Linked DNA regions of Mus musculus. The protein of the gene in region 1 interacts with the protein of each later gene in a pairwise test. Links are inferred from orthologs where the notes say so. Each region holds a gene or a part of one and is shown in the gene's direction. Other genes may lie near its edges. The genes, in order: Creb3, Ptdss1, P4ha2, Ndufb6, Sfxn3, Synpr and Fis1.

Region 1 (4,305 bases):
GGAATAAGAGAACTCACTACAAAACAAAGGTAGCTACTTCCTGCCAACTTCTTACATTTTACCAGCTCAGCTGTAGCTGCAGCCTCAACCCCTAACGCTATCACCAATTCCTAACATTAATGCTGACTTTATTTCCTATTTCCCTATACATTGACATTCACCCCTTTCCCAGAAGACACCCATACTAATCTGGCTTTTATTTTTAGGCCCAAATCCCCCAAATTTAACCCTAAATACTCCCTCCCACCCCACCCTGCAGTTCTAAAGCTCATTTGTAACTTGGTTCTTAATTAACCTTTTCACTGTTTATTCTTAATACTGACCATGACACCGGCCTTTAATCCCTAAAACGGGCATCTAAGCCAATTCCTGTTGATCCTTAACCCGATCCTGTACTCTGACTTAATGCTGGTCATTGCAGAAAATAATGACCTCAGTTTAAATGTCACATATGCGAAACAGACTTGACTCGTGCAGCAAATGTTTAGAATGTAGTTCACCTTCTTAACTTCTAAAGGGATCCTTGCTTCCTAAACGCGACGGCACCTAACCCAAACTCACCCCAAGTTTTCCTAACCACTTACTCACTATCGGCTAATACCAAAGCCCATCCCCGCCCAGTGCCTCACTGCCACCCAGTGCCTCACTGCCACCCCATTTCTACCCGTCCCCAAACCTAGCCGAGACAGAGAACTGTCTACCCCCGCGAAAGGGCCTGCTTCTCGCAACAAGGCCAGCTTAATTCCAAATCCAAACCGAAACATACTGGACCCTGACCTCCCTAACCAGACACAGGATATGCAGGAGGATTGGGGGCCCCGCCCGCCGCTTCCCGGGCTGGCCCGATCCCGCAGCCCCACCTAGAAGCTCGGCCCAGCCCGTCCGGCCTACCTGCGCTGCCCGGCTCTGCGCCCCGCCCTGGGCCCGCTACCCGCTCCTTCTCCCGGTCGCTTTTGGGGCTCCGGCCTCGCCCTCCCTTCGACACACTCTCGGCCACTTCCGTCCTGGAAACGTCCCCCACCCGCCGGCGGCGCCCTGGGCCCGCGCTCTATGGTAGCGGAGACTGCAGGAAGCTGCTCTGGCCGTAGTTCTCGATGCTCGGGCGCCCGCGAAGCCTGGCCGCCCCTCCCCAGCAGGAAGCGAGCGTGCAGAGCTCTGGAGAGAACGCCCGAACTAAGCTGGAGTTCCCTTTTAAACGCTTAAGTTTTTTTTTTTAATAGCTCGAGGCGAAGGCGGACAAGGATCCTCAGAATCCCCGCCCTGGGGCGTGGGAAGCTTGAAAGGACGTCCCCATAATTTGCATAGCCCCCGGGACGTGGCGCAGCCCAGGAGCCACTTCCGAGTTGGAGAGAACTCCAAGTCCCAGGATTCCACGGGGCTATGTGCACCACTTCCGTTGTGTTGGAAGCTGAGGAATACAGAAGCTGAGAGACGGGTGCGGTTTAGAGTGACAGCTAGGCCCTTGTCCCGGAGTGACGGAGGTTAAGTCGAGCCGACTGGACAGACTGAGGGGTCGTGCCTGAGGTTCGGAGGTTGGATCTGCGCGGAGGGATTTCTATCCATAGATATCCCAAATGGATCCTGGTGGTCAGGATCTGCTAGCTTTGGATCCCGGTGATCAGGACCTGCTGGGCTTCCTGCTAGAGGAAAGCGGAGATTTGTGGGCTGCGACTGAGCCGGACGTGAAGGCTCCGCTGGACTTAGAGCTGTCACCTTCCGAGGTGGGTGGGTGGGTGTTCCCAGTGGGGGAAGCTAGGGATGTCCGCGAGACCCAAGGTACGGAAATAAATCAAGGCCTTTGAATTTGATAGAACTCCGTGCAAGAACTGAGCGACTGGGAGGTAGAGGATTTACTGAGCTCTCTGCTCAGTCCCTCAGTATCGCGGGATGTTCTCGGCTCTTCCAGCTCTTCCATTCTCCATGATCACAACTACTCCCTTCCACAGGAGCACGTCTCCATAGATCTAGGTGAGTGTGAAATGATAAGTTGTGGGGGAGGAGAGAGCTCACTGGGCTAGCTGGTTCTACTTTCCCTTTTGCAGATACTGAGAGCTTCGAAAAGGAGGGGTTCCACGTGACTCCACTGCCAGGGGAGGAAAGAGCAGCGGAACAGGTGCTGGACTTGATTTTTTTTTTCAGGATTACCTCACTTTGCAGCAGCCAAGATCCCCCATACTGCTCTGAGAGCTCCATGCAACTCTGCTCTCTTCACTATTTCCTCCATCCTTAGGAGATGTCTAGGCTGATACTGACCGAGGAAGAGAAGAAGCTCTTGGAGAAGGAGGGGCTCACTCTGCCCTCAACCCTTCCTCTCACTAAGGTAAGGCTCCTGTTGGTAGAGCAAAGGCTGGAGGGGGTTGGTAACCCAAGTAGGCAAGCTCAGTTTGTTTCATATCAATCACTTGCAAAAGGACAAACCAACTCCTACAAGTTCTCTCATCTCCAAACACACACCCACGTCAAAAGATAATGTTTTAAATGTAACTTTAGTACAGAGCCTTGAAAGTGAAGGGCCTTGATAGCTTCCGTTGTTATCTTGGGACCTCGAATCATACTCAGTGGTAGAAATGCTTGAGAGGCTGACTCAGTCTAACAACATCAACAATCGTCAAAGCTGGACATGATGGTGCACCCCTCTATAACCCTAGCACTCTGGAGGCAGGAGCAGGAAGGTCTTCACAAGTTCAAAGTCACTTCCCACGTGCTGGGATTACAAGAATACTGCATCTAGTTTTTGTGGCAAATTTTTTTAATGTCATTTGCCTTTTTAATATTGTCTTACTTCTGATATGTAGATATTTACTTATTTGGGGCAGGTGGATCAGCATTAACGGACAGACTTAGCTTCATGTTGAGTTCAGGCAAGCTTGGGCTATGTGAGAAACCATCCCCTATCCCTCTATCACTATTACAAGATGAATGAGCAATATATTGGGAGGAAAGGAAACGGAACTTGGAAATTATCAATAGTGGTTCTGTCCCTAGGATAGTAACTGTCTTGTCTTCCTTTACACTGGCCAGAGCATGCCATAATTCCCCTACCCACTGGGATTGGAGTACAGTACCTCATGAATGTTCATCAATGCTCACTGCTGAGCCACGCCCTCTGGCCCTTGTTGTTAAGGCAGGGTCTTGTAAACCCAGGCTGGGCTGGCCTCAAACTATGTAGTAGGGAAAGAATGCCTTTGAATTCCTGATTCTCCTGCTTCTAACTCCCTCGGACTAGATTACAAGTGTATGATGTCACTCTTGGCTAGTGTCCAAGTTTGACAGGCATTATCAGAGAATGTAAGAGTTAACTTTATTCAGTTTTAGTTTCTGAAAGAAAAAAAGTTGAAAGTACCTTAAGATAAGGATATATTCTATATCACTTTAGAGACTCTAGGAAAATCAAATGAATGGAAATTATAAGAAGATTGATGTTGCTTTAGGATAAGGGTAGATGTTGTTGTTGTTAGTTTTGAGACATGGTCTTATGTAGCTCAGTCTGTCCTCAAAAACTACCCTAGCCAAGGATGGTCTTGAAATCCTGACTTCCTTCTTCTGCCTCCCAAGTGCTGATACTACAGGCATGTACAACCACACCTAGCTTAAGTGGAATTTTTAAAATTAATTAGAGACTGGAAAGATGATTCCGTGGTTTAGAGTACTTTCTGCTTTTCCATGGGGCATGAGTTCAAGTCCCAGCTCCCACATGGCAGCTTACAATCCGAGGAGATCTGACACCCTCTTCTAGCCTATGTGGGCACTAGGCACACCCATTATACATATACGTTATACAGACATGCAGGCAAAACACCCAAACACATAAAAAATAATAAAAAGTCTGGCTTTCTAGTGTTGAATATCTGCTCCTTGGTGTTCACACAGAAGGTAAATGCCTACTGACAGAGAGGCTGTGGAGAGTATTTGATTGGGAAGAAGGTTAGCTGTCTTCCAACATACCTATGTAGTATATATAGGTATAACATACAGGCATATAATAACATACTGTGGGTGACCTTTCCCCCATCTTCTCTTAGGTGGAGGAACAAGTTCTGAAACGAGTGCGGAGGAAGATTCGTAACAAGAGAGCAGCTCAAGAAAGCCGCAAGAAGAAGAAGGTGTATGTCGTGGGGCTGGAGAGCAGGTAAGCAAGGATGGACACGGGGGAAGCCTGGAGGGTCTTGAAGGGAGGAGACACAATATTTTGAAATCCACGTGTCCTCACATCCATGTTGTCCTCTAGGGTCTTGAAATACACAGCTCAGAATCGGGAGCTGCAGAACAAGGTGCAGCGTTTGGAGGAACAGAATCTGTAAGCGG
Region 2 (3,656 bases), on another chromosome or scaffold:
TTTTCTAGCTGAGAAATACAGAGTAAGTCTCTATCACACTCACTCTAGGTTCACTGTTGTTGTTATTGTTGTTGTTGTTGTTATTATTCTGCTATTCCTCGAAAAATTGACCTAAATTACCCACTAAACCTTTGTCTTTCTCTAGACCTATTCAGAGTGTGAAGATGGCACTTACAGTCCAGAGATCTCCTGGCATCATGGGAAAGGCTCCAAAGGTAACAGCTGTCTTGTTCATTGTGTAAAACTTTATTGAGTCCTCTCCATCCTCAGGCCTACTGTGGAGATTTGGGGTCAGTATTCGTCTTCTGAGCATTGGTGAATATATTGAAGTGTCTCAAACTGCTCATCAAATCTCACCTGTCACTTCACACAGTGTTCACAGAATAGAGGCAAAAGTATGCTCTGTGAGATAAGACGATGCTGGCCTCTGCTTTCCTCGGGCAGAGAAGTAATGAGGTCTTCTTGACTCTAGGCTTTCAGAGTGAGTGAAATTCTTAGAGAGAGCTGTGTGCCCAAAGGGAAAGATTTTCAAAAGAATCTGATGAATTTTATTCCAGATGCAGAACAGTGTGAGCAGGCCCCCAACTGGCCTCTCTCTGGGAAGCACTTTGTAATAGTCTAGGGCCACTGGGTTTTTGAAATTTATAAATATATGTACCATTGACAGTGAAGAGACCAGTAAACTTAAGGTCTTGTGAAAATCATGACTTGGGGAATCAAACTGGGTCTGAGAGACTGAACTCACTGTGGTCAGTGGTTAAGGAAGGCCTGTCAGTTCCTTTACAACCTGTGCTTCGAGATAACCCTGGGGAGCTGGTGTTGTGAATTCTGCTTGCTTTCCAAGCACCCTGCAGTCTGCTGACCTGTGTGGCCAAAGGGGTTCACTAGACTGACCTTCTCTGGGCCCATCCAGTTACATAATCAGCCCTGGGCATTCCTCGTTCTCCAATAGAAAGAATTTATGTGTGCAAGTGATGCAGCATATGAAGTGTGTGTGCGTGTGAGAGAGAGAGAGAGAGAGAGAGAGAGAGAGAGAGAGAGAGAGAGAGAGAGAGAGAGAGGAGAAACTTTTCAGAACCTTTGGGACTGTGACAAATACTTCGAATGAAGACAAAATGCTTCTGGGCCTTTGGGGAGTGGCGTTAAGTGGCTGTCTTTGGTAAATATTTCACCCAGAACTGAACCAGAACACTGAAGAAGAGAGGGTTTAGGCTTAGCCACTCCCTTAGGGGCTGGCCACATCCTCATATCAGAGGAAACAGTAGCCCTAGTGTTACAATGTCACCTCAGGGCTGTCACTCAGAGCATCAGGTACCTTGCCTGTAAAGATCTTGATGTCTCTGCTAATAGTTTTAAAGTTATAAAGTCAAGAATCTTTTCCAACTGAGACCTTACAAAGCCTGTCTAACCGTTCAGTGTATACAGACTTGGGGAATCTATACTGTAGCTGTAAGCATAAGATGGATACCTACCAGTGTGGCTGAACTTTTATTAATGTTTATGCTTTCATTTGAACTCACTTCTGGTCCTCATGACTGTGTCCCAGACTAAAAATTACTTAGAACTCCAGTTTTATGGGACAGTTACCTGGTACACACAAGGCATAGACAAGACTGTCAGATTCCCCTGGCCTTAATTTATTAATGGGGCCACTAGAGGGACATCAAGTAAGAATTGGATTTTAGCTGAGAAGCATGGCAGATCCCAGGAGTCAGCCACAAAGCCCAGAGGCCCCTGGTGATAATGTGTTGGCTTTCTTTGGGCAGGTTCTGAAGACAGCCCACCGAAGCATTCAAGCAACCACGAAAGCCATTCTTCCAGAAGAAGGAACCGGCATTCTAAGTCCAAAGTCACTAATGGAGTTGGAAAGAAATGAAGGAAGCTAGTTAATGTCAGATGTTCCAGAGTGCCTAGACCCGAGAGGAAAACAGCATATTTGGACCTTCCTATGCAGAGATCATAATGTACGGAAAGAACCGAGGGAGCTTAGGGGATCGTGACTTGAGAGTGTAAGTCTTGTCTCCCATAGACCTGGACACACACTAGGCTGACCATGGCTCGGGGTCCTTTGCCAACTGGAAGAGTCTCTAAACTTCAGCGTATGGCCTGCATTCTCTGGTAGCAATACAGTGTGCTGGAAGGACAGGATAGCTGTTTATTCCCAGCTGCCAGCAGTGGCTCTCTGCTGGTGTGTCTTGTGGATGTTGTATAAATGTCTTCATTCAGATGTTGACTTAACTAACTGGCTAATGAACTGGTCGCTTGGTTTTATTTTTATGAGTCTGCCTGTCCATTTGATTGATTGTTTAAGTTCAGAGAGTCTGCTTTTACTTCATGTTTTTGAGTTAAATAGCTTCAAAGCTTCCAGAATCCACTGCTGAAATTGGGGGAGGGTTCCTTCTAGAGAAACAAAGGGTGGAAGGAGCTTTGGTGTCCCAGCTAAGCATACTCAGTCCCCAGCCACATGGCAGATGACCCCAGCCGGAGTGAAGAGGCTGGCTGCTGGCACTGGAGCCTCGGCTTCAGATTAGAACTGTTTTGTTCCCTTCCAGACACTGTCCAGACTGAGTGCACAAGAACGACCTTGCGAGCGGATCTGGGACAGTGGGGCTCCCTGCCAGGGTCCTTTTCCATGTGCTTGGTTTTTCCTCTGTGATGTTTTGCCTACTCTGTCTTTCTGGCTCATGTGAGGTGCTAGTGGGTATTAATTAACTTTCATCTGTGCCATGTTCTACTAAAACATTCTCCCTGTCTACCCTGGATCCTTGTTTTAAATATATCAGTTCACATTAAACAGCTCATCAATGATCTGTCTTTGTTAGAATGATGTTTCTTTGTATCTTATTAGTCTTTTAACTACTTGGAGGCAAGTTCATATTTTGCAGTTGACCTTAGGATAATATGTATGTATGTGTGTTCTATATGGTAAAGAAAGAAAAAAGAAAAAATATATTTTAAAGGGGCTTACACATATATGTCCTATCTGAACCTTCCAGAGTGATCCACAGGGAATGGAAGTGTATGCAGGGGCATTGTCTGTCACTATGGTCTTACTTACTAGGTTGGATTTTCTTTCTCAGACAAGTGGGCTGTAAAACAAACTTGCTACAAACAATCCTGCTGCTCACTCACCAAAGCACGATGATTTCTGTTTCTTTGCCTCCTTAAAGGGAGTCTTTGAACTATAAAAGTTATGTTTTATTTTGCTTTCTCTCTCTCTTTCTGTCCCTCCCTCCCTCCCTCCCTCCCTCCCTCCCTCCCTCCCTCCCTCCCTTCCTTCCTTTCTTTTTTGAAAAAGAATTCCCAGATGAGAGATTTAAATCAATCATGAAGAAAAACTCGACTCACCGTTATTGCTCTGGGTGAACACTTGAGTTAAGAGCCACCCACAGACTTGCTTTCTCAGCCAGCCACACATGTCCACTGGTCCACCCCAAGAGGCTATGGCAGGCCACAGCTCTAAACTTTGCCATAGTGTTCCATGAGCCTGTTTAAAGGGGAACAAAGAGGTACCTATCATTCCTCATCCCTCATTTTGCAGTTCTGGAATTGAACTTGGGGCCTCTTGTGTACTAGACACGGGCTCTGCTACTGAGATTTGGCTCTCTCCTCACATTCCATCAAACAAAACAGGCTTTTTTGGGGGGGTTTTCAAG
Region 3 (4,210 bases), on another chromosome or scaffold:
CTGGACTGTAAAAAAAAAAAAGATTAAAGATAATTTAAAAAAAAATAAAAAAGAGCATACACCATGTAAGGGTGATTTAACAACGGTAAAGCAATAAACATAATACAGTAACTGTTGGGGGCTGTTGTGGAGCTAGAAGGTCTGAGAGATAGGCCAAGAAGATGGACTTTGCTTGCTTGGTTGGCCAAGGAGAGATGCACAGTGGGTGGTAGAGTGGGGTGAGGGTTATGTTTCCATAGCCATGGATTGAAGGTATTTATAGGCCAATGGGAAAGATCCTGTGGAGAGGGGGAGGAGGAGGAGGAGGAGGAGGAGGAGGAGGAGGAGGAGGAGGAGGAGGAGGAGGAGGACCACTCCGGACAGAGAAGTGGGCGGGCATGGGGAGGATCTGAGGATCTGGGCAAACTGTACTTTCTGTGGCATAGCAGATGCAGAAAGGTTTGTGCATGGTTTCAACTGGGCTCTTGGCTGGTAGCTGCCACAGACACGGACAAGTGGCCAGGTAGTATTTTCTGAGTTGTTTCTGTGTGTCTGTCTTTCCTAGTCTGGGCCGTCTGCCTGGTCCATGCCATTATAGGGAAATCCACACCAAACTCCAGGCACAGTCCCACAGGCCGGGCATCTCCGTTCTGGGCTCTGCTCCCTGATGAGATTCTCAGACTGCTTCCCCTCATTCATGGAGAAGCAAGCTTACAGGGCAGGCGTGGGAACCTGCTCAGCTGCCAGAGCATCCTTCAGTTCAGATCGAGGTCGGTTGCTTCCCTGTCTTCTTGACTGTGTGTGTCTCAGACAGAGCTGGTTGAGGTGTCCAATCTCATTGGCCTGTGTTATAAGCCATAGGTTGGCCCTAGGATGAGATGCTCCAGGCTACGCCAACTTCTCACATTTACAGAAGAGCCGAAGCCTGGCTAGCCTGAGCCCCTCAGAGAAGCAGTTAGGCTTTGGAGATGGGTCATCTGGAGAGATGAGGTGCGCTGACATCTCAGACCCTTGTCTTTTCCCTCCCTCCACTCCCCTCCCAGGATACTCAATTCCCGATCTTAGTGACGCCAGCCTCCTGCAATTTGCCGGTGGTAATGGATGTGGGGGTGGTGGGACCACAGAGGGCTGGAGCAGGCTGGGATGGGGGCGCCGCCCCTGGTGCCGGTCCCACGCGGCGCAAGGAGGTGTGCATCGCATACGTGCAGCGCGTGGCGGCTCGGGCCTTCCCGAAGGCTCCAGTGGCTCGGAGCCAGGCCCGGGCGGGCCCGGGGGGCGGGAGGTGGGGACGTGGCGGAGGCTCAAGCGGGCGGAGACTGTGACGAGGGCGGAGCCGAGAGCGCCGGGGCGACGCCGCGGGAGGTTCTGGAAACGCCGGCTTCTGCGCGTGTTCAGGTGAGCGCGGGTCCGCAGGGTCGTCGCCGGGCTGGGCTCGGGTCCCGGTGGCCGGGCGGTGCGTTCTGCTCTGCGCGGAGCCGGGAGCTGGATCCGGGGTCCCTCAGCCCCGTGCCCCGCGTCCGGCGCCCTGATTCTGCACCCGCCTGGGTTCCTGTCCCGCCCGCGTCCCTTCCCAGGGTTAGGGCGGTGAGGTCAGCGGTGCCCTTCCTGCCGGTACTGTTAGGCCGGGCCGGACAGGACACTTGGCGGGCTCCCGGGAAGGGGCGACCTGACCCCGGGGTCGCCCCCCGATCTAAGGCGGAGGCGCCCGCCTGGCCCCGAAGGCGGCGCTGCTTAGGATGAGGAAGACCCCTGGCTCCCAACCCTGGCAAGGACCAGCTTGGTCGCTGCCAGTTTTATGGGCTCTTAAATCAGAAACTCTCCTCCTATCTGTCAGAAGACATCCTTGTCGAACCTCTGATGTTTTCCCTGAGCAGTTTCAGAGACCGGTGGCGATTGGCTGACTGATTCAACAAATAGAGCATTCTCTGTGCCTGGAGACTTTCAAGGACTGAGGCAGGCAGAAGGGAAGACTCAGAAAGTTCAGGTCCAGAGCATCAGCAAGGTAAGTACTGAGTTAGTGTGGAGTTTGGGCTGTGTGGACTTGGTAGATGTCTGGATGCTTCCGGGCAGGAGACATGGGCTGGGGTGGGAGGCTCCGGTAAACTGGATTGGTCACTTAGGAACCTGGACTGAGGAATCACCCTGAGTGGCCGCAAGCTTGGGCCAGTATCACGTCTGTGGTACAGTAGTGGAATCAAGGTAACGGAAAAGGGCCGCTTTAGGGAATAGCTGTCCAAGGGCCCCACCCACAAGCAGTGAGAGATCTGCATGAGGAAAGTCCACTGAGCCCTTGCAAGGTGAGCATGGGTCTGGGTACTTCTGTCGCAGGATTTTACTGGGAAGTACAGGTGGGTCTTCCTGTCATCTGTATTCTAATGTGTCATTTACTATGCTGAAGGAGATCATTGAATTGCCCCCTACAGCAACTCTGCTGTGCTCTCAACGCGCTAAGGAGTCTCAGTACAAGAGAATCATTGGGGAAAGGCCTCCAGCCAACTCACTCCATCCTTGCGACGTGGCTTCCCTGACTGGGCCACACAGTGGATCCTTACCCTGAAGAATGACACTTTAAGGATTTTGCTTCTTAATGCAGGCCATCTCGTTACTGACACCTTATCCCTCCTGATGGAAGAGCTTCCTGGAACTAAGAGCAGGGTCCCAGTGCACCACTTTGTAGCTTCTGACATCCTCAAACGTTCTCAGCTTTGCAGAGGTCTATTGTCTAGCTCAAAATTTATAGGGTGATTTTGCAAGTTGTTGCTTGTTCTGAATTTATATCACATCCAAGTCAGCCCATGGTTGAGTGCCCTGTTAAATTGACCAGGCTTTCCTCTGGCGTGTATCTCCACTGCCTCTGAAGTGTCCAGGGTGTAGTCTCTCGATATGGTTCTGTGTGTGCCTCAAGGCCAGCCTCTCGGCTCCTCTCCATGTACAGAATGTTTGACCTTGGGATTCTTTTCTTCTTGGGCCTTCTTGTCCTCACACGAGCTTGTCCACTGTGTGGCCCAGCCAGTGAAGCCACATTGCTTGATGGAGTGAGTTGGCTGGAGGCCCTAGCCTGAAGATTCTGTCATATTGATCCTCCTTATTACCGTCAGAGCTCAGCAGGCAGATATGGTGACAACTCAACTGAAGCATTGTGTGTGACCTTTGGGAGTCCCTCCACATTGTCACAGGCTCTGCAGAGAGACTTACTTATCTATAGATTGGACTGCGTACAATGGACTGTGGGTTGTTCCTTGAATTGCATGTGCTTCATATCTGACTAGACTGGGCCTGGGGCTTGAATGAGGGAGAAGACAGGCGGTGGGGGAGGAGCTCTTTTTGCCCACAGGCAGCTCATAATCTCTCTGAGATCGCTGTTTAGCCCTGGCAGCTGCCTAGAGCCTAGGGAGGAGCCCTAGTGTGGGTGCTCATCAGAGGGAGACTGAGGCCCTGCAGCTCTGGGGACTGCGTGGAGTGAGGGAATTGAGGGCTTCCTTGTCTGCTGAGAAAGCTTCCATTTTTGACTGCATTCTCCCACATCCTTGGGAGGGTTTGAGGCTGGACCGAAGGCCTTGGCTGACTTAGGGCCACGTTGGCCGATAGTGTGCAGAGGCCTGGGGGGTGTGTCCCTGGCTTCTGGGATCTGTCAAGAGCTTAATTTTATGCAGATGGAGGTTGACAGCAAATGCTGCAATGCAGGCACGGGAAAGACCAGCAGAGTCCTGGAAAGAGGCTTCAACTTTGAAAACCATCATTCAAATCTAGTCATTTAGACCTTTGAAGTACCTGAGGGTGGGACACCAGCGTATCCCAGAGCAAAGGGAATTACTGAGTCCTGTGGTCTGTGGGGTTTGTGCTGGGGATGTGGAGTGAAGGATAGACAGACAGTTTTCCTTCTCAGCGAGAGCAGAGCAGGATGAGAAGGTCAGACTAGGCTTTTTTGAGAAGCGGGGTTTTGTTCCGCTGGTGCCACTGCAGGGCAGAGACTTTCGTGTTTGGATAGTGATTTTCCTGACCCTGATAGGATCTGTTTGAGCCTGGTACAGGTCAGCCTCTGCTCCAGACTTCTTGGTAAGTGCTTGCTAGAGATTGCTTGCTCTGTACCTGGCATTCCTGGGAGCCAGGGAGTGGTGGAGATCCCAAGGCCTGGTACTCTTGGGAGACTGGAATGAGTAGGTCAGAAGCATAGAACTATAAGAGATTTTGGAGTATTGGTTCTGCTCCCTGTCTTTTGCCAGGGAACCAT
Region 4 (4,140 bases), about 3.3 Mb from region 1:
CATACTTACTGATGCTGAAATGTTTTCATCTTTGACCAGAGAAACCTGCTAATCAAGTTGCTTACTGGTCTTAGAAACTTCCCCAGTTCTGGTTCGCTAGAGAGAGCCTTATAAATCATATTCTTCTCTGCTGGAGAACACTCAGGTTCCAGAAGCCCCACCATGTAGCTAGATTCTCCTAATTCAGTCTTCTGACGGAGCAGTAAGTGTTCTTAACCGCTAAGCCACCTCCAAACTCCCTAGTTCCTACTTTTGTGTCTATCCTATCTTCCCTATATAATATTGGTGGTGGTGTTTGAAGCAGTAGTTAGGTTGGGCATACTGGTGTACTTCATCTAGCTCATGAGTAGTGGAGGCAGGGGAATTCGGAGTTTAAGTCCAGTCTCCCTAAATAGCAATTTCAAAGCCAACATGAGATCTTGTCTCCAAAACCAAATACAAATAACAAAATTATTTTCATTTATTACTCTAAAATTTTCAGAGCATGTATATATATTTAGTATCACTACTACTCTCCCTGCTTTTGGATAAAAGGTAGCATACTTGGTGTAGTTGGTTTTATTTACTTATTTATTTTTTTAACTTATCAATAGATTGTAGAAGTTACTCCAGTTATGAATAGAAGGCTCATTTATGGCAGTAGCATACCAATGCTTTACAGTACTATAAGCTTTCCCACTAATCCTCTATTCTGAAATCTGGGAGGTGATTTTTCAATGTTTTGCTATTACATATCGTGTTGTGACGAATATTCGTGCACACCCCTACAAATTTTTACTGCCATACCTTTGGGATGTCTTACAAAGTGGGCCGGCAGAATCAAAGAGTGAGCGAGCCTATGGAAGCCTCCCAAATAAGGTGCTCTTTATTTCTGCAGTACAGAGAGGGAAGAAAACCGAGATAGGCGCTCAAGATTACTTAGCGGGTTACGAAAGAGGTGGGAGCCAAATTCGGACGCAAGTGTCTCTCGGTCAAGAAGAGAATTCAAGGGGGCGAGGCAGAGGTTCGCTAAACCATCGTCCTTGTTCTTCCGGTCCCCTCCCCTACAAGTTCTTTCTCTGAACCCTAGCCCCAGGACTTCTCACACTTTCCAACACCGCCCACTTAGTTCTTAACTCAGGGACCTTCCTGAGCTCATACTTAACCCAGGTTGTTAAAACCCAGGGTCCAAGAGAGGGCTTTGCGCATGAGCAGAGCCTGCTTTCCGCGAAGGAGTCGGCCCGCCCCCAGAGGCGGGGCTGGTGTGGCGTCATCACTCCGCGCCGCTTCCAGGCGCCTCAAGGTCGCTTTGCGGAGCGGGAGGGGCAGGTCAGTGACCGGTCCTGTGTAGGCTCGTCGGCAACATGTCAGGGTACACGCCGGATGAGAAGCTGCGGCTGCAGCAGCTGCGGGAGCTAAGGAGACGATGGCTGAAGGACCAGGAGCTGAGTCCCCGGGAGCCCGTGTTGCCCCCGCGCAGGATGTGGCCCCTGGAGCGATTCTGGGATAACTTTTTGCGGGACGGGGCCGTGTGGAAGAACATGGTGAGTGATGAGCCACACGGGTGTCCGGGTTCCCACCCCGGGTCGCAGCCTGGCCAAGCCTCCCAGCCCACTCCTCTCAGTTCCATCAAGGCCCAACCCTGTCCAGAGCCCGCATACCCGGGAGGGCCCCAAGGGACAATCAGTCCAGGGGCTCAGGTTTAGCGGAGACGCTGTCAGGTCGCTATTGTTCAGGGCTGGGGTCTGGAGTCCAGGAGCAGGTGGCTGTCAGGTGTACTGAGAAGTCGGGTCTTAGGTTTTACAAGACGCTCGCCGCACATGCAGTTCTTTCGAGTGTAGATACCTTTTCTCGGGTTAAACTGGTCAGAATTAACTGAGATCACAGGCTGTGATTTCAGTATTTGAGAACACTTACGCGGTGGGTAGGGTTGAGGTGCCAGAGACTGGCCAGCTGGTATAGTACAGCCCCATGGGGTCGCAACAGAAGACAGGGTTCTATTTGGTATGCTTTGTCAGACTCTAAAGCTCCCTTTCTACGCATCACTGTGTACGTTTAACACACTTTTAGTTACTTTTAAATTGCATTCCATGACCTCCAGGCAGAAAAACCGTTCACTCAAGGACTGCTTTTTATTGTAAGGATTCCAGATATTTTCTTGGAGACTGCTATTAAATCACATCAATGATGAGTAGCGAACATTGTGTGGGAATTGCTTTCAGCTCCTTCCAGTAATTGTGGTAGAAGTAGAAGTAGTAGTTGTACAAAGTCTTGGTTGGTTGGTTGGTTTCTTGAACAACAATGCCTTATGTCTTGCAGAATGGTGCTTATTCTGTCTTAGAATCTATGGATATTCTATAGGAAGCCTCAGAGTTAGTGAAAATACTGAAATTGGTAGGTCAGCCCCAATCTGTCAGGAAATATGTTCCATTTAGAAATTTGTAAAATAATTATCACACATAGTTGGTAGTGGTGGAATGTTTTTGTTTGGTTAGTTGGTTTGGTTTTTGTTCCACACACATTGAAAAATAAGGTAGCTCATGCTAGGGAGAGTAAGCAGCGCATGTTGGTAATCACAGCAGCTCCAGAGGCTGAGGCAGGAGGATAGCCGAGGATCTCTGCAGAGGGAGGCGGGCCAGCCTTGGCTAACGCTTGGGACCCTGTCTCAAGTGAGGGGTGGGGTGAGGCTGGAGAGGTGACTGCTTCAGACCACTTGGCTCTTTCAGAGGACCCAGTTTTGGTTCCCAGCATGCACATGGTGGCTCAAAACTGTCTGTAACTCTAGTTCCAGGGCATCTGATGCTTTCTTCTGTCTGAGCTCTGAGGGCGCCAGGCATACTCCTGGTACACATACATATATGCAGACAGAACACTTACATGCATAAAGTAAATAAATCTAAAAAATAAAACTGTAAAGAGCGGATGTTTGCTTATTTTGTATGTGTTTCCCCCGCAGGTCTTTAAGGCGTACCGCTCCAGTCTCTTCGCTGTTTCTCATGTGCTTATACCTATGTGGTTTGTTCACTATTATGTCAAATATCATATGGCTGTAAGTATACTTTAAATGTATGCTGTCCAGAACTTATTTTTAATATTATCCAATAATTTCCTGTGGCTGTGCTATACTCAGAAAATAATATGCCATGCTAAGCTGATTTTAAAGTTCTTTGAATTTTTGGGGGTGGGTGGGTAAAGGTTTAGTTGAATTCTGAGTACTCTTATATACAAGTAGTTTCAAAACTTAGAAATCAAAAAATTACTCTTACACTAGCTTATACCTTTTGCAATGCATTTCCTTGAAGTAGTGTTTAAATGGTCAGCATGTCTATCTAACCCTGGAGTCCTGAGCAGGTATAAAGATGACTTCTGCTGCTTCTTTAGACCAGTCCGTTATGTGGTAACGTTCCAACAAGTCTGCCATGTCTCAGTTCCCTTTCCTTGTCCTTATCTGATTTTTCGTAATTCTCTTCCTTTACAATCTAGGGTATCCAAAAACCACAAACTTTTTCATGGGAAGATCTTGCATGGGTTGACTAAAGCCCCTTGCCGTGGTTTAAAGACAAGGGACAGCACAGTGTGGTTGTTCCGCTCTATTGGATCCTAGGCAGTAGGAGAAGGGCATGTGGTTTCTGCGACATCATGGAAGGGGAACAGTAGTGTGGAGTGTTGGAACTCAGATAGTGTAAATGGGGTGTTCTGTGTCCAGTGAGAGTTGCTAGAGTAGGCTGAGCACGTCCATTTGGGGAGCCTTAGTGCCAGCAACCTGGGATAGGATACTGGAATTCGAGAAGGGAGTCAAGTAAGGAACCTGAGGTGGAGTAAGACATCAGAACCCAAATAAGGTGAGGAGGTTCAACATCACAAGGTGTGGTGATGGTGACAGGACATTTGTTAGATGGGAGGAGCTTGATCGAATAAGTGCACTGATCGAATGGAGTTATTTACATGAACAGGGGAACACCTTGGAGAATGGAGTTAGAATTGGAAGTGTTTGTATGAACTCATAGTTATTACTGTGTATTCATAGGTAGATGGAGAAATAACCACGAATGTGAATGTGGGCGTGTGTTTGAATGCATGGTCACTAAGTCTGTCCATTAAGAAGGCCTGGAAACAGGGCTCTCTCTAAGTTACAGTCCAGCAGGCAGCATCTCAGTGTGG
Region 5 (3,310 bases), on another chromosome or scaffold:
GGGCTGCCGAGCTAGAACCATGGTGCAGAAAGGTAGATGGAGTTAGGAAAAAATGGGACACAAGCCATTCTGTTGTCTCTGTCTCCCCACAGCGCCGTCCCTGGCTGGGGGCGCCCCTGCAGGTGGGACTGGTAGGCTTCTGGTAAGTTTGCAAAGGGTTCAGTAGGGGCACATGGGAAAGCCATTATCATTTTGGGTGTGGGTGGGCGCGCACTATCTTTGAGATGCTTACATAACATTGTTCATATATCCAGTTCCAATGGATACCCATAGTGCAAAATCTGTGTGCGCGCATGTGTTGGAAGGGTGGGGGGACCTCTAGGGGTTCTTGCCTTTGAAAGTCAAGAGTTTAGTTGAGGGGTTCAGCCTTCACTCACCAGAGGACCCCATACAAGTAGACTCTAGGGTACAATCCAGGAGTTGCATCCCATTTTACCCCTGATCCTGTTGCTCTCTGATCCTGGGGCTTTGGGTTGATGCTCAAGAGGCTCTTTCCCCAGACAGGATCTAATATCAGGACTGAGTTTAACATCCCTGAATGGTCCTTTGACTCCATTTTCCAACCTTTATGGCTGGGATAGAGCTCAAAAACAAACAAACAAACAAACAAACAAACAAACAAACAAATAAGGCTTCACTCCTGGGGCTATTCCTGTGAGGTGGGGTACAGGGAGGGGACACAAAAGTCAGTGTCACAGACATTTCCTGTGCTCTTCTTCTCTAGCTTGGTATTTGCCACACCCCTGTGCTGCGCTCTGTTCCCTCAGAGAAGGTGAGTGACACCGCTGGACCTGACCAGAATCTCTGCCCGGGACTCTGCATCTCAGGCCCGCAGTGTGTTCCCGGGAGGTCTGACAGGAGCATCTGGGAGCCCGGGGTGGGGGGTGGGGTGGGGGTGGGGTAACAGTGAGCCAGCCCTTCTGAAAGCAGGGAAGATTCTTCACCGGGGAGTGGAGGGAAGCCAGCTCCTGGGTCTGAGACACTGAGCCCGGAGTATATTTACCTAGCCTGTGTTGTTCTATTGCAGCTCCATACATGTGACCAGGCTGGAGCCGGAGCTGAGAGCTCAGATCCAAGCACAAAACCCCAGCATCGATGTGGTTTACTACAACAAGGGGCTTTGAGGGGAGTCGGCCTCTGTCCCTGTCCTTACCTCCTTAGGCTGCTTCTCTGATGCCACCTTGCAATGCTACCACCTGTTTATCTTCTGGGTACTGGGCAAGGGGGCTTGATGTGGGGAGCAGCCACTGAGACCAGCAACCTTAGACTGGGGGAGGCACTCCTATAAGCCTCTCCGCTCCTCTCTGGTTTCAAAGAGCAAGTCACAAAACCCATCCCTCCTGTGTTTGTGTGTGTGCACTGCCACATATGCAGCACATGTGTTTATACATTTCATCCTGGAAGCTAAGAGCAGAAATGCTGTTCTAGGATGTCCTGCTATTTGTCTTCTCTTCTCAGTCTCCTGCCCACCTAACAGCAAGCCTGGTTATGGGTGAGACTTCCTTCCCTAAACTGTTCCTCTAGCTAAGTCATTTCTGATAGCATCTTAGCCTTCTGTGCCCAAGATAAGCCCCAGGATCCCAGAACAGGGACTGAAGAACATCGTAGGCCACCCAGAGCTTAACCCTTCAGGTTTCAAATACAGCTATTTGAACCAGCTCTAAAAGCTGGTTCAGGACGTGGGCTGGTAGAGGAAGCAGTGTGGAATCAGGGAGGCAGGGGGCTCATGCTTGCTGGACCCCACACCCTAGAATGGCTCCACTCCTCTCTTCTGGTGGACCATGGGGGTGTCAGTAGCCTGCACTGCTCTCCACACTGCATTGTGGGTGCTTTTAGAGACCATCTTGAGCATTCTTCGTCTGTTCTGATGAGTCATGTCATGATTCAGAAATCCCACACTTCCAATTCCTCCCCCAATCAGAAAGCCACACAACACAGGCAGAGCAAGCATTCCCTTCAGGAACTGCCACCACCCGTACCCACTTGTAGGGGCTGGTGTGGGACCGGTGCTTAAACACAGGCCTCAAGCGTACAGTATCAAGACAGGTAATTCTGTGTTTCATTGACTCTTCTTAGACACACCCCCCCCCCCTCAGCTCCTTCCTTTCCATCTACCCCGTCTCTGGAAGAACCCAAGGCTTCATATATGCTAAGCAACTGCTCTACCACTGAGCGACATCCCCAGTGCCCTCTTTCTCTTTTCCTTTCTTTCTCTCTTTCTTTCTTTCTTTCTTTCTTTCTTTCTTTCTTTCTTTCTTTCTTTCTTTCCTTTCTTTCTTTCTCTCTCTCTCTCTCTCTCTCTCTCTCTCTCTCTCTCTCTCTCCCTTCCTTCCTTCCTTTCTGTCTGAATGTGTCTGTCTGTCTTTCTGTCTGTCTGTCTTTCTTTCTTTTTTTGTTTGTTTTTGTTTTTCAGTTATGGTTTCTCTGGGTAGCCCTGGCTGTCCTGAAACTCAGAGATCTGCTTGCCTATGGCAGTGAGTGCTGGGATTAAAAGGCATGTGCCACCATTGCCAGCAGCCCGTCTCTTTCTTAAGACATGGCACTGCACTCCCTCTGCCCTTAATTTCAAAAGGAAGAGGGACCCAGGCTCTAATAGCTGGACCAAATAGAAGATGAGTTCGGGAATGGTGTGGGTGATACTGACTCCAGGGCATAGAATTATATCTCCACGCCAAATCCATGACCTCTAGCTAAAAGGTGAATGGGGTCCCCAGTGACATCCACGGAGACCACTTAAACTAACCTCCTCTTCCAGTGACAACAGCTGTCACGTCATGGTGTCAATAAACTGCAATCCTGTCTGGTTCTTGATCTTCAGTTATTCCACATCCCACTTGTCTAAGGAAGTGTCCAGGAGATTCTCCTGCCTTCAGCTCCTCCCCAAACCCTCCCCTACTGTCTGTAGGGAGTCTCATCTCCCAGTAGAGGGCTCTCTGAGCTTACAAAATGGGTCCTCTGGCTAGCAACTATACCCTTGGCTTCATTTCTATCTTCACTAAGAGGACTGCTCACATATATATTAATTGAAGCTCATGGCCTTTTGGTTTCCTTGACGACTCTGGCATAGGGTGGTGACCTCGGTCTCTAGGAAATCTTTACAGAGGGAAGAGGAGGCCAGCAAGCGCCTGCTCATTAGAGCGAAGCTGGTAGGGAATTGGGACATCCTCTGTCTTTACCAGGTCACTGTGGCAACTGGCCCGACAGGATCCCTCCATCACCCCCAGGGTTCTTCATTGTGTGTGTGTGTGTGTGTGTGTGTGTGTGTGTGAGAGAGAGAGAGAGAGAGAGAGAGAGAGAGAGAGAGAGAGAG
Region 6 (4,371 bases), on another chromosome or scaffold:
AGCCTTTTACTGGCTTCACCACTTAATTTCACTCATTGTGATGTGGTAACTTTTCAATAAGCATATGCTAGTGACCATGATTGTGTGTGTGTGTGTGTGTGTGTGTGTGTGTGTGTGTGTGTGTGTGTGCTCAAGCACTGAGGGATAGGATCCTATGAGAATTTCAAAGGACCATAGAGTTCACAAAATTTGAAGATTTTAAGCATCCTGAAGACTTGCTTATTCATTGGGAACAAGATCTCACCCTGTCACCTGGAGCTGAACTTAGTGTTACACTCTTTCCCCAAGTGCTTGAGGCCCTGGGCTCTATCCTCACAATGGAAAAGACCAAGTGAGGAAGAGACAGCAAGCCAGAGTTCCTGTGCACACACTTGGACTTGAACGCACTGTCTTGTCTTTCATTCCTTCTTTACATCTCCCTACCAAGAACTGTGAAATGTTAGTGTGCCACTTTACAGAGGGAAATCTAAGGCACAGAGAGCTAAAAAGGCTGTCAGTTCTCACAATCTCCCAGTGAGAGGAGAAGCAGCAGGAGATTCCAGGTTGTTTCACTCTTACTCACATTTGGCCGGTGTTCTTTGGTCCCACCCTCCCCTTCTTCACAGGAACAAAAGTAGAGCTAGAAAATAACTGATGATGTTGTTACTATGTTGTGTCCAGATGTCTACATGAGAAGAGGAAAGAGACACAGACAGAAACAGAAAGAGGGGTAAACCTGACCCATGGCAGATTCTGGATTACATACCGTGGATTAAACACGTGGCAGTCTGTTGGCCTTTCTGTTGGGACATTAGTAGCTGAGCAATAGACAAAGCTGGCACACTAGACCTCTTACTGTGCTGAGCAGAGTGCTCACTCAGGGCAGAGGGAGTACAGACTTGCAGGATTCCCTCTGTAATTCAGTACAGATATTCAGGGGACAATATCCTTCAGTGGGTTAGACAATATCCTCAGGGCACCCAAGAGGAATCTCTCTGTGAAGGCTGGCCCACCCTCCCAGAACAATAGCCTCTGGATATCCAGACTGATGCCCCTTGAAGAAATGAGTGCCACTTCTTTCTGAAAAAAGAAAGAAATTTGAGTCTTGTTTAAGCCTCTGCCAGCTTTTTAATTTTGTGATTTTCACAAGTCTTCATTAACACTGTCATGATGAATGAGCACCAAGTTATAATTTGTCCCTTCCATAGTCCCCAGAGCCTGAAAAGCCATCTTCCAGTGCCATCACCTTAATGATTATTTATGGACAGTGCATGACTTTTCCAAATGGGTACCATGCATAACACCCATGCATTTCCATAAAAACAAGGGCAGTTTTTAAAAGCAAACATACATTTGCCTCATCTATGCAAATCTATTCCAGAGGATTTAATGAAACCACTGCTTCCCTGTACCCTAAACATGCAAGTTCCTGGCTTGTGTTCAGCTCACAGTTTGATTTTAAGTGCTGTGGTGAGAGGAGGGGGCTCTCTGAGTAAGAGGGGAGCTGGTGCCTTAGCTCATGATGCAGCGTGCTTGTGCAAAGCAGCCTGCACTTGCAGTTGTGAGCAGAGAGCCAAGTGTGGGAGTGCACAACGGAGGTAACGTCCTCCCCACAAAGCAGCCAGCACACAGCAAGGGAGTATCAGGTTCCTGTAGTCAGCTGTGGGCTGTCACTGTCTACTAATATGACTGTCTTCCCATCTCTCTGCAAGAAGGCAGAAGCTGCTATCTGATTGGTATAGCATCTGACTTTCCCTCTGCATTGATTTCTTGTCCTTTTCCTTTGCTTCATAAAGAGAGGGACAAGAGCTGGTGCTGTGGACAGAGAAGCTTCATTTTTAGTATGAGACAACCTCTTTATTTTTTCAGGAGAGGGAAGTTGGATTATCAATTCTTTTGTAAATGTGTATGGTGATATTTGCTCCGGTAAGTTTATCTCTATTGATTTGCTTTTCTCACTCTCTGTCTCTCTCTGTCTTTCTCTGTCTCTCTGTCTCTCTCTGTCTCTCTGTCCCTCTCTCTTTGTCTGTCTGTGTGTGTGTGCGCGCGCGCTCGTGTGTGTGTGTGTGTGTGTGTGTGTGTGTGTGTGTGTGTATCTCTGTCTTTCTCTATGTCTCTGTCTATCTCTGTCTCTTTCTCTTTGTATATATACATGTATAAGTACATTTGGGGTGTATAATTTTCTTTACCAATGTGATTTTTTAAAAAATAATTGGTGATAATGTCTTTTTCCCCTTTAACTTTGCTTTCTTTTATGCATGTTTAAACCACAGAGTCTGGGTTATATAGTATAATTCTCACGTTAGCTACTAAAGTATATACTGGGTTTCTGGGTTTCTTTTTAACACAGTAAGAAACTAAGCAAAGTTATATTAAGCTTCATAAAAATGTAATGCCATTCCATCTCAGCCTTTTTTTTTTTAGGGCACTTAATGTTCTGAGTATATTCATTGTGCCACAACTTGCCTATAATTTTAATTAAAGTTTCTTCACCAGTATCACTGTGAGAATATCTTCAACTCTTTAAATAGCTTCCAAATACTATGTTAAATTCATAAGGTCTTATACCAAACTACAGTTAAGAAATGAGCTGCCCCTCCAATTCTGAGACATTTATTAAGAGAACTGAATTTCTACACCAAAAAGTATCCATATTGTTAAAGTAAATCTCTTGCACTGTATGAAAAGCTGGGCTTCACATGGCCATTGTTTCTTTTCTGACTGTCTTGGGTGTTTGTGCCACCATCTGCCACATGCCTAGTGCTGAGTCTAGTGTGGCCATGGCTCAAGCTAATCAGGAGGAAAGTTGCTTTTATTAATTCACACTGATGCAGAATGGGTTTTCAGTCACATCTGTTCAGATTCATGATTTCTGAATGCATCACCTGGTTAGCTGAAGGCAGAGGATGGTCTGGATTCCTTATTGTTAATTCAGAAGTCTGGGAGAAAATCTATTAATATGATTACAGTAGATACAGATGGTAAGACGATTAACTACTTGTGCTAATGGAAACAAACACACTTTACTCTTTTCTTTCTTTTTTTCTTTTGTCACACAGCAAATCTACATAGCTTTTTTTTTTTTCACAGTAAATGAACTACAGAATATATTTGTAACAAAAGTTAGGGTACCTATAAATCACAAGTGAAAACCTGGCAATTTTTAGACTTTTAAAGTAAAGTTGGGAATTTCAATTAGAACTCTGAGGCACACATTCTTTTTGAGTGACAGTTTTTTGGGACTGTGACATGGTTTCAGATAAACTCTAAGGAGAGAGTGATGTCTACCCAGGAATGAACTGACCCGCCTGAGTGCTGTCTTCAGGGTGCCCTGCAATGCACCTGTTACTTGCATGCTAACACAGAGCTGCTCATTTTGATGATCAGTCTGAATTTTGATTACTGTAGCTTCAAAAATAAATTCCCCCCAAGTCACCTAACTATTTCTATTGTCTGATCCCAGTGAATGTGTTCCCAGGACAACTTCAGAGGTCATATATACTACAGGAACTAAGTATGCCTTAGCAGGTAGGTTGTTGAAAAAAAAAATCAAGCATGGCTTTCATTCTTGAGCCCAGTGAAAGCATTAGGAGTGGGCAGGCCCTGTCCTCTCTCCAGCACACACAGCTGACTCCCTTCTTCCTCGCTACATCCATTTTTGGATGTTATTCTTTCAGAGCCAGTGGTAACAAGTTGCATGTAAAGTCATGAGCTGTAAATGGAGTTGTCACCATATGAAGCTACTCCACAAGATTAATTAGTAGAGTTTGAAGGAATGGTGAATTACAAGTATCTGCTTTCTTCTTTGTCAGCTTATTATGAAAGACTCAGGGTTCCATACATGAAACCACTGTCACTGGACATCAGTAACTTCAATAAGTTAGTATTGTCAACCATTAGTTTGAATTGGGATAAGTCTGCATGATCTTTAATTGTATCCCTCCTGACAAGTCCTGAATACCATGTCCAGAAAAGTTTGTTGTAATCTATTTTAAGGAACAAAAATCCCAATGCTGTGGACAAAAATAGTGAAGTGGTTTTGAATTTTTCCACAATGAAATCTTCTTTTTGTCTTAGCAAAATGAAAAAGGCCTTGATTGTTTCCAGTTTGTAAATACACACTTTGGCTTATCTCTCCTCGTCTTCATAGCCACTGAGAAGAGGCTAATCTCAGCTCCTAACTTTTAAGATAGGAAAATGAGAACAGAGAATGTGTGCAACTTGATAAGATGACACAATGATGCACATGAGATGGCGTGAGTGGCATGTTCATCCTCCGGTCAGGGCTTCACCTTGTCAGCATAACCTATGGGAAGCTCATAGGCCACGGTGATTTTCAGGCACTTAACCATAACACAGCACGTTTCCACGGGTATCTTTTCTTCTTCTGAC
Region 7 (4,216 bases), on another chromosome or scaffold:
ACAGGATACCTCAGACATACACGTCTATCTAAGGACGAATAGCCATAGGCCAGGAAGAGAGTAGGATCCCGACAAACTGCAACCCTCACTCCTGTGAGGCCCAGGCCCCAGCCTCAGACCTTGCCAAGTCTGCCTGTGGACAGTGACACAGAGCTGACATTCCTTTTGCCCTTTCACCCAGGCCTCTGAGAAAGCCTTGGATTGTCTGGCTCCCAAGAAGAGTTCCTACCCCAGGCTGGACTCCAACTTGCTAAGCCAAGGATGATCTTAAACTTCCTCCTCTTCCTGCCTCCACCTCCCAAGCGCTAGGATGAAAGCCTGCATGACCATTCCCCCTCCCCACATTAGATGCATAAGGATAGGAGTTTTCTTTTTCTCAGTGCCAATCCCTGTACTTAAATAGTGACCGACACTTAGGAAATGCTCAATCAAAAATGAATGAATCAACCAATAAGCAACGGCAGGGCTAGAAGATAGATGTTCTGAATAGCAAAGACGGCAGGCACATGCAGAGTGCCTGTGATTACTGGAGGTTTCAGAATCATAGGGCAAGGGACAGCGAGTGTGCTGGCTAGTCCTCTGTCAGCTTGACACCCAAACTAGAGCTCTCTCAAAGGAGGGCCCCTCAATTGAGAAAAATGCCTCCATGAGATCTGGCTCCAAGGCATTTACATAACTGGGGGAGGACCCAGTCCATTGTGGGTGGTACCATCCCTGGGCTAATGGTCCTGGGTTCTATAAGAGAGCAGGCTGAGCTGGGTGGTGGTGTGTGCCTTTAATCCCAGCAATCAGGAGGCAGAGGCAGGCGGATCATGTGACCCAAGTTTTCCCCTTATAGCTGGAACCCAGGCAGTTGTGAGCTATGTGGGGTCTGGCAACAGAACATGAGAGCCATCCATGGGCCTTTAACCCTGGACTGTGTTTCCTGGGTTTTCTTCAGAATCCTATTAAGAATGGCTGTCCACTATGGTCATGTGACCCAAGTTTTCGGAGGGGGGAGGTGGGGGAGTGCGTGGAGCATGGAGAGGGTATAGCTACCAATTCCTCTTGCTTTATGAGAGACTGAGCATCTCTTTGTGAGAGACTACACTGAGACCCTCCGGCCCCTGGTACTCATTAGGATTTTATTGCAAACATTGAAGATAATCCAGGGTCCTAGAGTGAGGGGTTCTTACACTGGTTCCTAGGATAATGTGATGCAGGGAGGATCTAGGACATCAGGGGAGTCCAAAGAGAGCAAAGTATCCCAGCGTAGGCACTAGTGCCCCCGCCCGCCCCAAGGCAAAGGAGGAAGGGGCGGGGCCTCCACAGGTCGATGCCGGAAGTGCCTCTCCGCCCCTGCTACTGGACCATGGAGACTGTGGCCCAGTAGAGACCTTAGTGTGAGGCTTTCAGGGGCGGCGGCCATGGAGGCCGTGCTGAACGAGCTGGTGTCTGTGGAGGATCTGAAGGTAAGGTCTGGGACGGAGGAAGGAGAAGGGCAGAATTGGAAAGGGCAGTTCCTGAGGAGAGCTGACTGAGGCTAACCAGTGCCGGTTTCGTCTTTCTTGGCAAGCTGAACTACGGCTCCCAGCAGCCTCTGCGGCATCCTGCTTCTTGTGGGAATCGGCTTCGTGTCCCTAGGCCTGACGGGAATTGTAGCTTCCCGGGTTTCAGCAACTCAGACCTAGGCCTGGGGTCTTAGTGTGATGCAGAGCTGGGAATTTGGGGTACTCGTGTGCAGGGATGGAGTAGTATAGTCACTGGTGTAAATTTTCGCTAGTGTTTAGTTCCTCACGGTGCTATTTTCACCGCATCCTTGTAGCTGTGTTTTCTTTCCTCTCCTAGAATTAAAGTAAGGCAGATCCAGGCCCAAAAGAGTAGGGTGGGACGGGACCAGCGGCCTCAAGGGAAAGGCCATGTAGGAGGTCGTTTAGCTCTGGGACAGTATGTTTACTCTTCAGACACTTGGGGTCAGCTGGTTTGGGAGCAGTGCCTCCAGCTGCCACCAGGTGGCATCTCCTCTTGGTACCACTAGGGGCTGGGTTCACGGACCTTCCGAAGGGGAGGACACAGCATGGGACCCAGGGGTGGAGATGACAGAAGCTTCGGGGTACCAAGATCTACAAGGGAAAGGCGGCAGGGAGGAAAATATGATCTAACTGGGATTCAGACATCAAGTTAGCTGGAGAATGATTGCTGCTCTTTGTTGCTAAATGGTCACTCTTCTCTCTAATGACAGAATTTTGAAAGGAAATTTCAGTCTGAGCAGGCAGCTGGTTCTGTGTCCAAGAGCACGCAATTTGAATATGCCTGGTGCCTGGTTCGAAGCAAATACAATGAGGACATCCGCAGAGGCATCGTGCTGCTGGAGGGTAAGGCGCTGGGCCCCACTTTCCAGCCGCCAGCCAGCCTGACCTCTACTGTGCTTGACCTCACCCCTCCAGGACCCTTTCCAACACAGAACCCTCACCTTACAGCACATTTGTCATTCAGTAACCACCAGTAACTTCACTTGGAGAAAGGGCTAGATTGATTCTCTACGTCCCCAGCATCTGAACAGTCATTCAGATGGAAAATGCTGTAGGAAAAAATGCTCTCAGGCTGGGGAGACTCAGTGCATCCTGTCCAGGCATGAAGACCTGGGTTCAAATCCCCAGCACCCACAGCAGCAGCTGAGTGTGGCCATCCGAGTCTGTATAGAGAGTAAGCTGGAATCAGCTAGAGATGGCTTGTTGCCATCTTAGCCCAGGTTCAGTTGGAGACCCTTTCTTTAGGGGATGCTGTGGAGTGTGAAAGCACTGGCCGTCCTCTGACCTCCATGCTTCCATGTGCACACACACAGTGTACACAAAACACTTCTGGTATAGTTACTAATTGCCGTTAATATAGTGTTTACGTTGTATTGGATAACAGTCATTTGGAAAATTCTAGAGATTTAGAATATCTGAGGGGCTAGTGGTATCAAGGCTGTGTGACCCCAGCACTACAAAGGTGAAGACACAGGAACATAGTTCAGTAGTCGAACATTGACTGTGGAGATAGAGGCAGGAAGGTCAGAAGTTCAAGGCCAGAGTCAGCACATCCTGACCAAATTTGAGGTCAGCCTGGGCTACATGAGCTCCCTGACTCAAAGAACACTGCATCTTTGGGGACTATAGGTGCATTCTATGCAAACACCGTTTAATTTTATAGACGGGCCTGCCGTCTGTGCACTTTGAAGTCTGGGGGCTGTGTTGGCATAGTCCCAGAGGCTGTCAAGGGACGACGCTGGGAACAGAAGACTGCTGTATCATTAGTCAGTTGACTTTGACACAGGACCTCTAACCTGTGCGTCCTGCTTCAGCTACCTCAGTGCTGCGAGTTCAGGGGTGCCGCCAGCTCTGGGGTCTCTAAAAGCAAATACTGTCCCCCTACTTTGATCAGTTTGGACTTTTAGGTTTCTTTTACAGTAGAGCACAGCAGTGGGAGTGGTGTCAGCATTTGAGTCCTGTTTGGAGACACAGTGCAGACCCTGAGGAGACTGTAGCACTGCACAGCTATTTAGTGCCGAAGTGGTGGCTGCCGCACCACGGAACTCCAGCGCTAGAGAGGCTGGGGCAGCCTGATGGGGAGTTTGAAACAAGCCCGGGCGGCATAGTGAGTGCCTATCTTAATACCGTCCTACGGGGATACACACACACAGAATGAAATGAAAAACAAGTCAGACAAGGGTCACTCAGGGAAGATGAGTTATAGGAAAGGGGGGCAGGTTGTGGGCCTAGAGTGGTGATTCACACCTTTAATCCCAGTAGTAGGAGGAGTAGCAGAAGTAGGAGGATCTCTGAGTTTGAGGCCAGCCTGGTCTATAGAGTGGGTTGTAGGACAGCCAGGGCTACACAGAGAAACCCTGTTTCAAAAACAAAACAAAAGCTCAGTCTACGGAGTGCATGTTTGCTGTGTATGAAGCCCTGCTTCAATTCCATTCCCAGCACTGCATAATAAGCCAGCCGTATCCCAGACCATTCAGGAGGTGGCAGGAGGAGCACAAGTTCGGGCATTCTCAGCAAGATGAGTGTCAGGCGGGAGGTGACCTTGCAGTAGGACCCATGGCTGCCAGTGGGAATGCACCCATCCATACAGACTGCGGGGCTGGCTCCTGGTCTCCACCACAGGTGTTTGACAGGCTTACGGCTGTCTCGGGGCTGTAACTGGGAAGCTGCAGGTGATAGAAACTGGTAATGGAGGTCCAGGACCA

What was found.
Region 2: the proteins of Creb3 (region 1) and Ptdss1 interact in a two-hybrid assay, tested with the Homo sapiens proteins (2 studies listed by BioGRID and IntAct). The two-hybrid records come from large-scale screens. The link is inferred for Mus musculus from reciprocal best matches to the Homo sapiens genes CREB3 and PTDSS1.
Region 3: the proteins of Creb3 (region 1) and P4ha2 interact in a two-hybrid assay, tested with the Homo sapiens proteins (2 studies listed by BioGRID and IntAct). The two-hybrid records come from large-scale screens. The link is inferred for Mus musculus from reciprocal best matches to the Homo sapiens genes CREB3 and P4HA2.
Region 4: the proteins of Creb3 (region 1) and Ndufb6 interact in a two-hybrid assay, tested with the Homo sapiens proteins (2 studies listed by BioGRID and IntAct). The two-hybrid records come from large-scale screens. The link is inferred for Mus musculus from reciprocal best matches to the Homo sapiens genes CREB3 and NDUFB6.
Region 5: the proteins of Creb3 (region 1) and Sfxn3 interact in a two-hybrid assay, tested with the Homo sapiens proteins (2 studies listed by BioGRID and IntAct). The two-hybrid records come from large-scale screens. The link is inferred for Mus musculus from reciprocal best matches to the Homo sapiens genes CREB3 and SFXN3.
Region 6: the proteins of Creb3 (region 1) and Synpr interact in a two-hybrid assay, tested with the Homo sapiens proteins (2 studies listed by BioGRID and IntAct). The link is inferred for Mus musculus from reciprocal best matches to the Homo sapiens genes CREB3 and SYNPR.
Region 7: the proteins of Creb3 (region 1) and Fis1 interact in a two-hybrid assay, tested with the Homo sapiens proteins (2 studies listed by BioGRID and IntAct). The two-hybrid records come from large-scale screens. The link is inferred for Mus musculus from reciprocal best matches to the Homo sapiens genes CREB3 and FIS1.

What each region holds. Positions count from the first base shown.
Region 1 is NC_000070.6:43,561,239-43,565,543, forward strand, and holds the start of Creb3 (cyclic AMP-responsive element-binding protein 3), read left to right. Parts: upstream 1-1,419; 5' UTR 1,420-1,574; coding exon 1,575-1,721; intron 1,722-1,811; coding exon 1,812-1,968; intron 1,969-2,042; coding exon 2,043-2,113; intron 2,114-2,230; coding exon 2,231-2,320; intron 2,321-4,022; coding exon 4,023-4,129; intron 4,130-4,228; coding exon 4,229-4,297; intron 4,298-4,305. UniProt on the Homo sapiens protein: Endoplasmic reticulum (ER)-bound sequence-specific transcription factor that directly binds DNA and activates transcription. Plays a role in the unfolded protein response (UPR), promoting cell survival versus ER stress-induced apoptotic cell death.
Region 2 is NC_000079.6:66,995,202-66,998,857, forward strand, and holds the end of Ptdss1 (phosphatidylserine synthase 1), read left to right. Parts: intron 1-145; coding exon 146-215; intron 216-1,616; exon of another isoform or gene 1,617-1,766; coding exon 1,767-1,876; 3' UTR 1,877-3,200; downstream 3,201-3,656. UniProt on the Homo sapiens protein: Catalyzes a base-exchange reaction in which the polar head group of phosphatidylethanolamine (PE) or phosphatidylcholine (PC) is replaced by L-serine. Catalyzes mainly the conversion of phosphatidylcholine.
Region 3 is NC_000077.6:54,099,667-54,103,876, forward strand, and holds the start of P4ha2 (prolyl 4-hydroxylase subunit alpha-2 isoform 1 precursor), read left to right. Parts: upstream 1-1,257; 5' UTR 1,258-1,374; intron 1,375-1,853; 5' UTR 1,854-1,981; intron 1,982-4,210. UniProt on the Homo sapiens protein: Catalyzes the post-translational formation of 4-hydroxyproline in -Xaa-Pro-Gly- sequences in collagens and other proteins.
Region 4 is NC_000070.6:40,276,541-40,280,680, reverse strand, and holds the start of Ndufb6 (NADH dehydrogenase [ubiquinone] 1 beta subcomplex subunit 6), read left to right. Parts: upstream 1-1,259; 5' UTR 1,260-1,343; coding exon 1,344-1,523; intron 1,524-2,935; coding exon 2,936-3,028; intron 3,029-4,140.
Region 5 is NC_000085.6:45,053,578-45,056,887, forward strand, and holds the end of Sfxn3 (sideroflexin-3), read left to right. Parts: intron 1-92; coding exon 93-142; intron 143-724; coding exon 725-772; intron 773-1,027; coding exon 1,028-1,124; 3' UTR 1,125-2,806; downstream 2,807-3,310. UniProt on the Homo sapiens protein: Mitochondrial serine transporter that mediates transport of serine into mitochondria, an important step of the one-carbon metabolism pathway.
Region 6 is NC_000080.6:13,452,448-13,456,818, forward strand, and holds the start of Synpr (synaptoporin isoform 2 precursor), read left to right. Parts: upstream 1-1,510; 5' UTR 1,511-1,881; coding exon 1,882-1,905; intron 1,906-4,371. UniProt on the Homo sapiens protein: Intrinsic membrane protein of small synaptic vesicles. Probable vesicular channel protein.
Region 7 is NC_000071.6:136,960,778-136,964,993, forward strand, and holds the start of Fis1 (mitochondrial fission 1 protein), read left to right. Parts: upstream 1-1,299; 5' UTR 1,300-1,406; coding exon 1,407-1,451; intron 1,452-2,221; coding exon 2,222-2,354; intron 2,355-4,216. UniProt on the Homo sapiens protein: Involved in the fragmentation of the mitochondrial network and its perinuclear clustering. Plays a minor role in the recruitment and association of the fission mediator dynamin-related protein 1 (DNM1L) to the mitochondrial surface and mitochondrial fission.